Linked DNA regions of Arabidopsis thaliana. The protein of the gene in region 3 interacts with the protein of the main gene of each other region in a biochemical or structural test. Each region holds a gene or a part of one and is shown on either strand. Other genes may lie near its edges. The genes, in order: SOS3, SOS2 and GI.

Region 1 (4,548 bases), on a different chromosome or scaffold from region 3:
AACAAAACCAGGCTAAGGAAGAGTTGCGTACCTTGCAAGGTAACTATTATCATTTGAAGAAGTTTTGATAACTACGATGGGGATTGAATTTGCATTGATGCTTACCTGCTCATGTTGCCTAAACCTTTATCTCAGCTTCTCTAGAACCTCTCGGTGCTATGTTCCCAGAATGCCTATCCACCAAAGAATCAATGATGAAACAGATTGAAGAGAAGCATCATGACACTGCAGCATCAGTTTTCTGTTGTTTGTACAGAAAGTCACCGCCTCCACAGTCACTGTTTCTGTCAAAGAAAGGAGTATTTGGCCTCGTAGCACTTCTTGGTTCAGTTGCCTCCACCTCCCTTAGCAGGTGACATAAATTTATACCCACAGTGTTACTACTGATCATAGTGGCCAAAACTTTTGTATCTGAAGTCATTTGGTATGCAGGGTGTTATCTGAATATTTGGGAGAAGACATGTTGCTCGCTTTGGTATGCAAATCGGCACAAATTGGACCTAATAATGCTGAGTTTCTCAGGCTTCAGTCCAATCATCGGTTTCATGTTCTATGTCTTGATGCAATCAGGTATTTGTCAACATATCGATAGCTAAACCTTAGAGTCGTTTCTGACAGAATCATAAGTGATCTTTTCAAACACGCAGACCTTGGAAGGATGGACTTTTGGAGAACGATCCTCAGAAGAAATTAGCCATGGATGACCCAAAGCTGCCCGATGGAGATCCCATACCGGGTTTCAAGGGCTATGCCGTGAACATGATTGATTTGGCTCCAGAGGAGCTCACTGTTCAAACTTACTCAGGATACGGGCTTAGAGAGACTTTGTTCTATAATCTCTTTGGGAATTTACAGGTATAGAGACCCAAAAGCAAGTTAAAGCAGCTCTTCCACACATCAATGGTGGTGGTGCAGTCTCTTTAGATGGTTTTATCGCAAAAGATAACGGATTCATATATTCCGGGTGCAGGTACTTGACCTTTTCTTGATCCTTGTATCCGTTTTAGTTCTTGAATTTAAACTGTAAAGCTCAAAACTCGAGTTTTATTCCTTGCATCTGTATTTACTGCGGATGATATGATTTATGGTTTTTGGATCAGCATACCGGAATTTCATTTCCCGATTACACTAAAGGAGGATGAAGAAGTGAAGCTGAGAAAAATGGAAGCAGCAAGAGATAAAGTGAGAATGGCAGCGAAGAAGATAGAGGAGGAGAAGTGTTCAATGCGTAAGGTAGACAAGAAAATGAAGAAAACAAATGAAAAATATCACAATGTCACAAACTCATTAGAGCTAATCCAGTCTCAGTCTTTAGAGTAATGAGAGTAAAACTGGACCTAAAACGATTCAAACAGTTTGTTTACCTGTTGGTTATCGGTTTGGTTTTTGTGTTTTTGGATTAGTCACTTTTGTTCTGAAATTTCATTTTCTTTTTCGGTTAATGGTATTTTGTTCACCAATTTTCTATTTCAAAAGTTTGTTTTTGATCTTGCTGCTATGATCTTTTTAAATAACTAGATTTTTTGAACCATAACGAACATATTATAAGAAAATAGCCATGGTAGCAAAACCAAACTTTTAAAATATCACCAATCCAACAGACAAAAAGAGAATACTAGTGGGCAAAAAGTGAAGGAAAATTTATCATTTCACATCGTAATTTTTTGTTTAATTGAAAAAGTGCAAATGAAATGATGGGTCAACTATAAATAAAATAAAGATTTTGTAATTGAACTAAGAAAATAAAACTCTGTGGATCATGACGAAAGTTAGAAAAGTTAGGCACATGTAGTTTCAGTGTTGTCATGTTTTTTTTTATGTAAGAGTAGGAAGCTCTCTTATAGGACGGGTATGATCAGCTGACAAGTTCCAAACCCTATAAAAAGTGATGTACATTGTGGAATCTGGTAGCTTGACGATGATGAATGTGATATATCTCTTTCATAGTTACGTTTTCATGGTAATTGTTAAAATTTTCATAAACAATCGAGTTCATTTTTATCGGAATCATAATAATTACTACAAAAATGAGCATACGTATAAATGTAATTATCAATCATCTGTAAGAAAATTTGTATTAGTTAGTTTAAGAAATATATTAGCGACTTTTTTTTTGGTCACAAGAGTGTCCATTTTATTTATATCAAACATCAAACTAAGGTCCAAGACAAACACATCAAGCGAAGGTGTAAGACAAAATTTCTTATGAAATATATAATTAACTTTTTTAAAATTGGTGTATTTTCAGAAGTGAATAATATTTTAGGTTATTTTTATATCAAAAACTGCCTCTCATATTTATAATTTTTTAAAAGATTATTTGCCAACAACCACCACAAGTGTCAACAAAAGGAAATTAAAAAGTGAGGTGGGACTTGAAAACAGTACTACTCTAATATTTTTTTTGTTTGTCATAAATAGAAGGTCGAGGAAACATTGCTATATAGTTTATAGTACACGATATAAAAATATATTTTCAAAACCGACATAACATCGGGATCCATCTGCGCATGGACGGACACAAACCTAACCCGATGTTGGGAAGCTCGTCACAAATTTGTTCTTCTATTTAAATAACTCTCATTTTGCCCTTTTCCTCTTCCAACACCATTATTCAATTATTCAAGATCGAGACAAGTGAAGAGTCGACAAGAACATATAGAGATTCATCCATATCTTGGTTAGTTATTTTTGATCTTATTTTTTTTGTTTCTTCGATTCACCATTGCTGAGAAAATCTTTCATCTCTATCCAATGTTTTTTTTTTCTATCACTTCCATGTTTTGGTTTTCTGTTTCGTAATTTTTAGTCCACCTCAAGATATATGTAAAGGAATTCACTGTTTTCCTCTCTCTTTTTTTCGAAATGGAGGTTTATGAGCTTGAAGTTTATCCCATCTTGGGTTTTCTTCAAGAAAGAGTCAAAATATGTCCGTGTTTCCAGGAATCTTCTGATAAGATTTAGTATAATTCGGTTAAATATTAGAAAAAACAAACAAACCAAAGCAAAACCATTCTTTAAAACTGACTCAATTGAGTTCTTTAGTGCTATAGACTGAATTGAACCGTTTGATTTTTGTTTTTCTTCTAATTGAGTGTATAGTTTCCAACATTCCATTAATCATTCAATGGAATTTGGCTTTGGTTTTGGTTTCAATCGAAATCAAGTTATTTCAGATTAGAGATTACAAATTGGATCATATCCGGTTTGGTCCATCTCGGTTCGATTTTGGTGGGTGTTTAATTAGTTGGTAGCCATTAGATATTTAGAACTGTTTTTTTGTTTCTTGTGTCACTTTTGGTGATTTAGAGTCTAAGGAGAGGAGATGGCAAATTTGATTTCTTACTAAAAATCAAAGACCACACCTAATAAACTTATTTATAGCAAATAAATTATAAAAGTCAATAGCTGCAAGTTTTTTTTTTTTTCATTTTTACTATTTAAATACTTATAGAGAAAATAATTAATTTTAAAACGTCATATTGCTGCGTGGCCGGTTTGATTAAACAACATTTTTGTTATTAATTATACAAAAAGATCGCGAGAAGTAAACAACAAGATGAAAATACTGCTTCTAAATTAGATATGTCTAAGTTTGTTTACACGACGTACATTGAGTATGATTACGTATAGATCTAAAAAACAGGTAATGAGAATTTGGAGGCTCCACACATAACAAAATCAAAATGGTCCATAAATTAATACATTAATTAGAAATGTCATAGAAAAGCCAAATGCACCAAAACCTTCCTTAGGCATTAGTTGATCATTATTAATGATTCATTAATTAACCAACTAGGCTCATGTAGTTTTCAAATATATACTATATTAGATTTGAGGTTCCAAGTTCAAGATTCGCTTTGCCTGGTCAAAGACAGGCTCTGATATGTACCAAATTAAATGCTAGTATGGTTGAGGATTTTACGTGGCTTTTTTGGAACAAAACGAGATTTAAATATACTATATAGTCTCTAGATATTAGTGTAAGTGTAATCAAGCCCTTTTTGTTTTATTTATTAGTAAAACACATATAAATTGCCTACATTGAAAAAAGCAACAAAAGGTTGTCTCAATCTCGTGATTATTGATTTTTGATAAAGCATCACTTTTTAATGTGGTCCCATGGCCATTCATATTGTAACTCTTCTCTTAGTTCTCTATCCTTTTCGTTCAAAATCCATTCTAGTCTCTCTTCACTTAAAAATGTACTCACCAAAACAACTTAAATCATGTTGGGTCTGATTGGTAACACAAAACTTTAGCTGTTAGCTGGAGCGGTAAACTGTTACGAAATAGTACAAAACTGTCTAAAAGAGCTGTACAGAAAAGTTTAGAATAAAACTTTTTGTAACGTTTTTGATAAAGTTTTTTTGAATGGTAACTGTCAAAGTTGTACAGTTTGTACAACTTTGATAATGAGTTACCATTCAAAGCCGTTATTTATTCAACCTATCCGGCTTCTTATTATGTTCCTAAACTTACGACATGGTTGTATTACTCGCTTAAATGTGTTCTTGTGATTGAGTTGGACATAGGTTCAAGCTTATT
Region 2 (4,548 bases), on a different chromosome or scaffold from region 3:
CATTTCTATGTTTTACATATATATTTTTTTCTTTCATAAATATCTTAATCTATATAATATATAATTTAATAATATTAATTAACGTGATGTCAAAAATATCAATAGTGATTCGATTAATCGGGATTGTTCACTTATAAAAATAGGATAGATTAATCAAAATTGTGAGATTAATATGAATTATTTAATGTATTATAATAACTAAATTTATATACATCTTGCTTCCATATATTGTCATCATTTCTCATATTTATTACAATTCATTTTCTTTCAATATTTTGTTTTTAATATAAAAAGCGTAAATTTTAAAAATATCATTTAATGAGATACTTATTGTGATTAAATATTGATTGTAATTATCTATGAAGCACTAATAAATTTAGAGAGACTAATAATAAATTATTTATTTTCGTTTATAAATTTAATAAAATAGAAATTTATATTTTGATAATGTTTATATTATTTGGTGACAAAACATTTAGAAACTTTTCCATATTTTAAAATATTTTTTTTATTTTCATATATTGGTTTTTTTCTATTTTACAAAAAATTTAAAAAATAGAAAAAGAATAATTTAATAAATGTTAATTAGCGAGATGGCTAATCTCGATTGGTTGTTTAAAATCTATGTGGATGCTCTAAGAAGCAAATAATCTCGACTTTTTTAAGAGTATAGACTAGGTTATTAACCCCCGCTATGCGAGGTTTGTTGTTATCGATTGTCTTAATATATGTTTTTTGTTTAGTAATCATTTTAGTAGCTAATTAGCTATACATTGACATATGATTAGGAGTGTCAAAATGGGTAAGTCAACTCAACTCAACTTATAATCAAATGAGTTTAGGGTAACAAAATGAGTTGGGTCAACCCATAACTCATTTAATTTGATGGGTTGAGTTGTTAAATGGGTTAACCCATTTAAGTAATAATTTAATTAATTATTATTACAAAACATAATAAATAATTATCATTATTAATTCATTATCATCAAACTTAGGATATTTACGTATTACACTTTTTATGGATTTACGTTTTTGACGATAAAATCATGGATTTACGTTTTTTGCGGGAAAATTACGGATTTACGTTTCTGGCGGGAAAATTACGGGTTTAAGTTTTTGGCAGGAAAATCTCGGGTATACGTTTTTGGCGGGAAAATCACGGATTTACGTTTTTGGCGAGAAAATCACGGATTTACGTTTTTGGCGGGAAAATCACGGGTTTACGTTTTTGGCGGGAAAATCACGGGTTTTCGTTTTTTGGCGAGAAAATTACGAGTTTACGTTTTTGGCGGGAAAATCACGGGATTTACATTTTTGGCGGGAAAATTACGGGTTTACGTTTTTGGCGGGGAAATTATGGATTTACGTTTTTGGCGGGAAAATCTCGGGTTTACGTTTTTGGTGGGAAAATTACGGGTTTACGTTTTTGGCGAGAAAATTATGGATTTACGTTTTTGGCGGGAAAATCTCGGGTTTACGTTTTTGGCGGGAAAATCTCGGGTTTACGTTTTTGGCGGGAAAATCTCGTGTTTACGTTTTTGGCGGGAAAATCTCGGGTTTACGTTTTTTGCGAGAAAATCACGGGTTTACTTTTTTTTGCGGGAAAATCACGGATTTATGTTTTTTGGTGGAAAAATTACGAGTTTACTTTTTCTCAATTTCATTGCTTGTATATTTAAGAAATTTGGAAAAATATTAATTTTATTAAATTGGTTTAGATGTGTTGGTTAAACCTAAATTGGCATTGGTTTAGAGATTTTAGTTGGTTTTATTCAATTTTACAAAATTTGATGGGTTAATTGGATAAACCATGGAAACCATTAACCATTACAACCTAACTCATTTTACTCATCAAACCAATTGACTCATCAACTCATTTGACTCATCAACTCATTTGAGTCAAAAATTTCAACTCATTAGGGTTCATGGGTTGAGTTGAGTTGAGTTGACCCATGAATTTTGACCCATTTTGACACCCCTACATATGATCATAAGTTAATAATCAAAAATTACTATTGATAACTTTTTAACGGAATTGTTTTGTAAGTTTCATTTACGTTATTTATATAAAAAAACATAATGCAAAAGTACTAATGTATAGTTATTTTTATTTTTAATAATGCAAAAATATTACTGTAATACTTTTTCATTCTTATCAATATTTTTTCTTATATTCAATTAGCCACCAACACCTACATTTCATATTTCTCTTCACATTCATTATTTTCTTGCTCTTGTATTCCTTCTTATCATCTTCATTGCCAATTTTTCATTGACATTGTCATCGTTACTTTGTATGTATGATTTTTGAACATTTAATGTGAATCCCAACCGACTATAGGACTATCAAGAAGTTTTCAAACTTTTTAAAAAAGATCTTGAACCTTTAAAGCAAATCCCAACCGACTATAGAACCATAGTCCTCTTCCTTGTTGATGAAGCTCTTCTCGTGCCGGCGAAAATCTAGGCCATAAAAGCCTCTTCAACATCACCTAGTATATTGACCGTGACCATCTTTTTGACCATTGCTTTGTGAATGAACCGTCGATAAACCGTGTTATCACTTACGCCAAATTTTTCCCTAGTGTTTGTTTCCAAACTCTCACGAATCCTTATCGAACTTTTTTATATATCACTTTGTAGCATTGGAAAGTATCTTTGTATGCTTTGTCTTAAACTTAGACATCCTTGTTCTCTTGGTTTTTTTGAACCTTGCTTGACTTAAATGAAGTTAAAAATTTGTAGTTAAAAATAGAAAATTTTACTAATTTGAGTTCGATTAATCATAGTCTAGATAATTTGAAAAAAATTAAAATAAATTTTGAAAATACTATATGTTTATTTTTTAAAAATAATTTACTAAATTGATAAGTGATATTAGATTAGTTTTTTTTTTCTTTTTTAAATTTTGAAAACCTCACAATTATTAAATTGAAAGATTCAAAATGCAATGTTAGTTTTTAAAAGTTTAATCACCCAAACGGATAATTGACCCGAACGACTAATTCAGGTCGTATACGGGTACAGTCAAATAACCCGACCCGAAATGCTCAACGGATCTGCACGGACGTTCGCATCGACGATTCACGGCTTTCGCGAATCGCATCACGAGCCTTCCTTCTCTCCTACGCCTCTTTCATCAACCCTTCTCTGCGAATCCAATTCTGGTATTTCACGATTCTCTTTCGACTACGCCCAATCGCAATTCCAGCCGTACGAATTTTATATATTGATTATGATCTTGATCCTTACCTTTTCGTCGTTTCCTTGATCGAATTTATGTTGATTTATGCTGCGAAATCAAAATTATGGATACAGAGTAATTTTGTATATATGGATGTGTAGGAGCTAAAATTAGCAAACAATACGTAAAGTAATTGAAATCGAAATCATAAACGTTTAAGGAAAGAGGTTTTTACTAAGTCTCTGAATAATCTGATTGATAGCTTGTGGTCAATGGATCAGATAAAAGTTTGTAAAGAATGACAAAGAAAATGAGAAGAGTGGGCAAGTACGAGGTTGGTCGCACAATAGGTGAAGGAACCTTTGCTAAGGTTAAGTTTGCGAGGAACACAGACACTGGTGATAATGTAGCCATCAAAATTATGGCTAAGAGTACAATACTTAAGAACAGAATGGTTGATCAGGTATGTTCTGGATTGTTTTTTACATGGAAACTAAGGTTGTTGCGTCAATGGTATGATCTTTGATTTCGTTTAAAGCTCTTTTACAGATAAAAAGAGAGATATCTATAATGAAGATTGTTCGTCACCCGAACATAGTGAGGTTGTATGAGGTATGTTTGTTTGTTTCCATGCATCTGCGAAATTTTATCTCTGAAGTGTTTTTGCATCATTGTTCTTCTGTTGTTTTTTTGTGATTTTCCCGATGTAGGTGTTGGCGAGTCCTTCGAAAATATATATAGTTTTGGAGTTTGTGACAGGAGGAGAGCTCTTTGATAGAATTGTACGGAACTTCCATACTTGTAGGCAGCGTCCATTAGTTAAAACCTCTCTACTTAATTTTTTAATATATGAAATCTTTCATGCAGGTTCATAAAGGGAGGCTTGAAGAAAGTGAGTCTCGGAAATACTTTCAACAGCTTGTAGATGCTGTTGCTCATTGTCACTGCAAGGGTGTTTACCACCGTGACCTAAAGGTAAAGACGTGTTTTTGTTTACCAATATTCCTCAGAATATCTCACTGCGTTGCAATCCAGACTTGATATTTTTGTGTCGCTATGTTATGTTATCTAGCCAGAAAATCTTTTACTCGATACAAATGGAAATCTGAAGGTTTCGGATTTCGGACTCAGTGCATTGCCTCAGGAAGTAAGTGCTCTTATCTCTGCTTCAGCAGTCTGCTTACGTGGTCATTAACTTGTTATATACTCAATCAGGGAGTAGAACTTCTGCGTACCACATGTGGAACTCCGAACTATGTAGCTCCAGAGGTACTTAGTGGACAGGGTTACGATGGTTCAGCAGCTGATATTTGGTCTTGCGGGGTTATTCTTTTCGTTATATTGGCTGGATATTTACCTTTTTC
Region 3 (4,548 bases):
AGAGTGAGTGGGGTTGATACATGTCACCGTCCAAAATGTGTCTGACCCTTCTCATTGGAGCTACAAGAGCCGACCCTTTGCCTCATCATTTGTTGACTTCACTCTCCTTTTACATATTTAAATTATAACTTGCTCATATTTCCATTCATTGTGTTCGGTTCTAGATTGTTCCATCCACTTTCTTTTTTCTCTTACTTTGAAATTTAGAAATATATGAATACTTGACAAATATTTGAATATTGTAACTGATTTGTTTGTTCGTAATACTTGACAAACTTTTTTGAATATACACCTTTACATATATTTTGAGTTGAGATAAAAAGGGAATTATGTTAGTTTATGGATTATATTATGTAAATACCACATCTAACTATGATCGGATGAAAACTAAACCAGCATATCTCTAATCAGTAATATTTACTAAATTTATATATCATTAAAGATTTTTTGAATTTAGCAAAAAAAGAAGAAGATATCATTAAAGATTTTTAAATTTAAAGTATAACATAATGAATAAATCAAGTGTTGAGCTTAGTTTCGCGTTGCAAAGATGTTCATTTGATTTTTTTTTTTTTTTTTCCATTTGATTTTTCTTATACTAAATTGATTGATGTCACGGTCCTTCTGTGAAAAAAGTATATTGTACTGTATAAATTTATAATAGTCATACTTGAAGATAACTAATATCATTTTCTAAAGGTTTTGTTGACAATGAAATGGGTAATGATGAACATCTCGTTTGCTAAACCACAAAAGAAATAATTCGTTGGACTATAACTTAAACTTATAATATATCAACTGAAATGCCTACAATTTGAGAATACGCCTTTTCAAAAAGTTTTAGAATTTTATAAAAATTTCTCCACCATAATATTACTTTAATAAAAGCTTGTTATTAAAATGATATATTAACAAAAAAAAAAGAGGTAGGCAAAGTAGCTTTTATTAAAATTAATGTTTTCCCTAATTGGTAAATCATAAACCAAAAAATTGAGGTAATTCTTAATATATTTACTATGATTAGAATGATACATTAATGTAACATTTTATCATCTTCATTAATAATAGTAAGTTCTCCTCAAAATTACAATTTGATATCAAAAAATATATTTGTATTACAAGCAATTACTGAAAAATTAAAATTACAATTTAGCCCAGTTACATAACTCCACGTAAGGTTTGAGCCCATCACATCACATGGTACATGACCAAAGCCCAGTTATGTTACCATGGAGTATTCTTCAGACAAGAGCCATCCAGACAGAAGTGGACCACACAATCACGAATCGTATGGAGATCATTACAATATATTGCTCACATCTTATTGCGCCACGTCTCTTATTTGGCGAGTGATCAACGTCCACAGATCTCTTGCTCCACTCTGATTGGTACACGTCATCATTTTATTGTGCTACTTGTTTATGTGGTACAGTAGAGACAAGTGGTAAGATTTTAAAATATCTTAAAAGATGTGTGAGGCCCATTTAGATATTTTCTCAACGGGCTGTTCCTCAAAAGCTGCCCGTTTATCTACAACCATCGAACGGCTCGAAACTATTCTGGGCTAGCTGCCCGAAATCTCTTAAAGGAATTTGTTGAGTGGGCTTGAATCAACGGTGGATAATTCGAAGGTGTACGTAACATCTCGTAGCATCTGAACTTAGCTCCCCTCAAAATATCTGTGGACATATGTCACTAGCTTTTTTTTTGTGTAATGAAACTATTAATTAATTAGGCAATCACATGAGAGATGTTATATACTTAAATTAATAACTCAATAATACAATCATGACCACCAAACCTTGAAATAAAATAATCTCTCTGATTACTTGTACAAATTCTTTACCAATATATGCCATACTGTGAATGTAATGGTTTATTTTAAAACAGCCAAATATTATTGATATAATTATATGTTTAAGTAGATTTTAAACTTAGCTCATGGTTAAAAATAGACAGAATTTTGGAGTAAATCTGAGTTTACAAAATTTATTTATTAGGATTAAAATTAATTACTTAAATTGGCAAACATTTTTCTTGGTGATTGTAACATACAATATACGAATTTGAATTCGCATTGTGATTCCAAAACAACACTAACATAAACTACCAGTAAAATTTTTTAAAATAAAATTTCATATATATATGCTTAAAAAATGTAACAAAAATATGGTAAATTTTTTAACCATGGTATGGGTGGAGATGTATGTGGGATGATGATGGTTATATGGTAATGGCGCATAAAGGTGGTGGCAAAGGCAAGGAAATATCGATGACACGTAAGCAGACGGGAAATCTTAAACCGAGTGGAGAAGCCTCCAAATCTCTTTTTTCTCTCTCTCTCTCCTAAGGCCACCACAATCTCTTCTTCTGTGTATGTATTCTTTTTTTCTCCGATATTCGTCGATCTCTCAAAAATATCCTCAAAGCCAAAAAAAAGCAAGAGTAGAGATAACCAACCAACAAACTCATAGGAAGACATATTTACTTTCAGGTCTTTCTTCTACTACCTTTTTCGTGGTTTTTGGTTGATTGATTCTCAGATGAGATTTTTTCCCGAATCATTTGATGTCTTTTTTTTTTAAATAAGTTCTTGGTAAATCACTGTTTCTACTAGCATTTTTTGTTTTCTCAGCTTAGATTTGTTGTTTGATTTGACATCTTATCTGATTGAGATTTTGTTCTTCTGAATTGTTGTTACAGGGTTTAGCTGTTTGATTCAGCTTCGATTTAGTGTACAGTGTGTTGATTAGTATAAAAAGGATTTAAAAGAATCTGGGAGATGTGTATAGTGATTGTTCTTGCTGGCGAATGTTAACACTACGTCGTATTGATTCTCGATTGATAGTAGAAGAAAGGTGTTAGTTAGATTGTTCGTTCATCTAGTTGGGGTTTAGTTTCGGTTCCTGGATGGCTAGTTCATCTTCATCTGAGAGATGGATCGATGGTCTTCAGTTCTCTTCCTTGTTATGGCCTCCGCCACGAGATCCTCAACAACATAAGGATCAAGTCGTTGCTTATGTTGAATATTTTGGTCAATTTACATCAGAGCAATTCCCAGATGACATTGCTGAGGTACTTGATACCTAATGAGTTTAATAAGAGTATTCTCTTAGTAGTGACGTTTTGATTCATGTATAATTTATCTGTATCAGTTGGTCCGGCATCAGTATCCATCAACTGAGAAGCGACTTTTAGACGATGTGCTGGGTATGATCAACATTTATGATCCACACTTCTCTTTTTGTGTGTGAATGTCTATCTGATTTTCGTTTTCTGATGAAACAGCGATGTTTGTCCTTCATCATCCGGAGCATGGTCATGCAGTCATTCTTCCAATCATTTCATGTCTTATTGATGGCTCGTTGGTGTACAGCAAGGAAGCTCATCCGTTTGCCTCTTTCATATCTTTAGTTTGCCCAAGTAGTGAGGTATATAATAGCTGTCTAGTATCATGCTTACTGATTTGGTGTAACCTATACCATTTTGTGCTAACATGTTCACTATCCTAACAGAATGACTATTCGGAGCAATGGGCTTTGGCATGTGGAGAAATCCTTCGCATTTTGACTCATTACAACCGTCCCATTTATAAAACTGAGCAGCAAAATGGAGATACAGAGAGAAATTGTCTGAGCAAAGCTACAACTAGTGGTTCTCCGACTTCAGAGCCTAAGGCTGGATCACCAACACAGCATGAAAGGAAACCTTTAAGGCCTTTGTCTCCATGGATCAGTGATATACTACTTGCTGCTCCTCTTGGTATAAGAAGTGACTATTTCCGATGGTAAGTAGACTCTGTTACTGATGCTTCTATGTGTTCATGCGCCGGCCTCCTTCTTTTATTTTGGTCTCTCTGCTGAGGTCTATGTATTGAGGTTCTGTAGTGGATTAAGCTTACTGACAACTAAAAATGTTGCTTATTATTTACAGGTGTAGTGGTGTAATGGGTAAATATGCTGCTGGAGAGCTCAAGCCGCCAACCATTGGTGAGTTCAAGAATTCCATGTTAATATCCCCTGGAACTGGATTTTGATGATAATTCTGATCAATAGAGTTGTTCTATCACTTCGTTCATAAATGTGTATCCATCACCTGTGGCTATAGAATGTGTTTTGAGTTGCTTCCTATAACTTTCATGTTGTCCTACTTTGGCAGCTTCTCGAGGATCTGGTAAACATCCTCAACTGATGCCTTCAACCCCAAGATGGGCTGTTGCTAATGGAGCTGGTGTCATACTGAGTGTTTGTGATGATGAAGTTGCTCGATATGAGACTGCTACGCTGACAGCGGTCGCTGTCCCTGCACTTCTTCTTCCTCCGCCAACGACATCCTTAGATGAGCATCTAGTTGCTGGCCTTCCAGCTCTTGAACCATATGCACGTTTGTTTCATAGGTATTGTTTCTGGGCTTACCCTTTCAATTAGGGTTTATTGGTAGTAGTCTGTTGCTAGTTTTAAGGTTGTGCTTCCTCGAATCCCTAGATCAGAATTGTTTTCTCACTTTCCTGTTATACTGTCAGATACTATGCCATTGCAACTCCAAGTG

Evidence for each region.
Region 1: the proteins of GI (region 3) and SOS3 form a complex in vitro, tested with the Arabidopsis thaliana proteins (one study listed by BioGRID).
Region 2: the proteins of GI (region 3) and SOS2 form a complex in vitro, tested with the Arabidopsis thaliana proteins (one study listed by BioGRID).

What each region holds. Positions count from the first base shown.
Region 1 is NC_003076.8:8,241,263-8,245,810, reverse strand, and holds the start of SOS3 (Calcium-binding EF-hand family protein), read left to right. Parts: upstream 1-2,367; 5' UTR 2,368-2,680; exon of another isoform or gene 2,681-4,548. Other genes in the region: AT5G24275 (En/Spm-like transposon), read left to right, coding at 1-39, 136-352, 433-570, 648-861.
Region 2 is NC_003076.8:13,631,451-13,635,998, forward strand, and holds the start of SOS2 (Protein kinase superfamily protein), read left to right. Parts: upstream 1-2,948; 5' UTR 2,949-3,167; intron 3,168-3,465; 5' UTR 3,466-3,482; coding exon 3,483-3,647; intron 3,648-3,733; coding exon 3,734-3,796; intron 3,797-3,894; coding exon 3,895-3,966; intron 3,967-4,051; coding exon 4,052-4,159; intron 4,160-4,256; coding exon 4,257-4,331; intron 4,332-4,399; coding exon 4,400-4,548. UniProt on the Arabidopsis thaliana protein: Involved in the regulatory pathway for the control of intracellular Na(+) and K(+) homeostasis and salt tolerance.
Region 3 is NC_003070.9:8,059,488-8,064,035, forward strand, and holds the start of GI (gigantea protein (GI)), read left to right. Parts: upstream 1-2,263; 5' UTR 2,264-2,494; intron 2,495-2,703; 5' UTR 2,704-2,910; coding exon 2,911-3,075; intron 3,076-3,155; coding exon 3,156-3,210; intron 3,211-3,288; coding exon 3,289-3,431; intron 3,432-3,515; coding exon 3,516-3,787; intron 3,788-3,933; coding exon 3,934-3,989; intron 3,990-4,158; coding exon 4,159-4,396; intron 4,397-4,522; coding exon 4,523-4,548. UniProt on the Arabidopsis thaliana protein: Involved in regulation of circadian rhythm and photoperiodic flowering. May play a role in maintenance of circadian amplitude and period length. Is involved in phytochrome B signaling. Stabilizes ADO3 and the circadian photoreceptor ADO1/ZTL.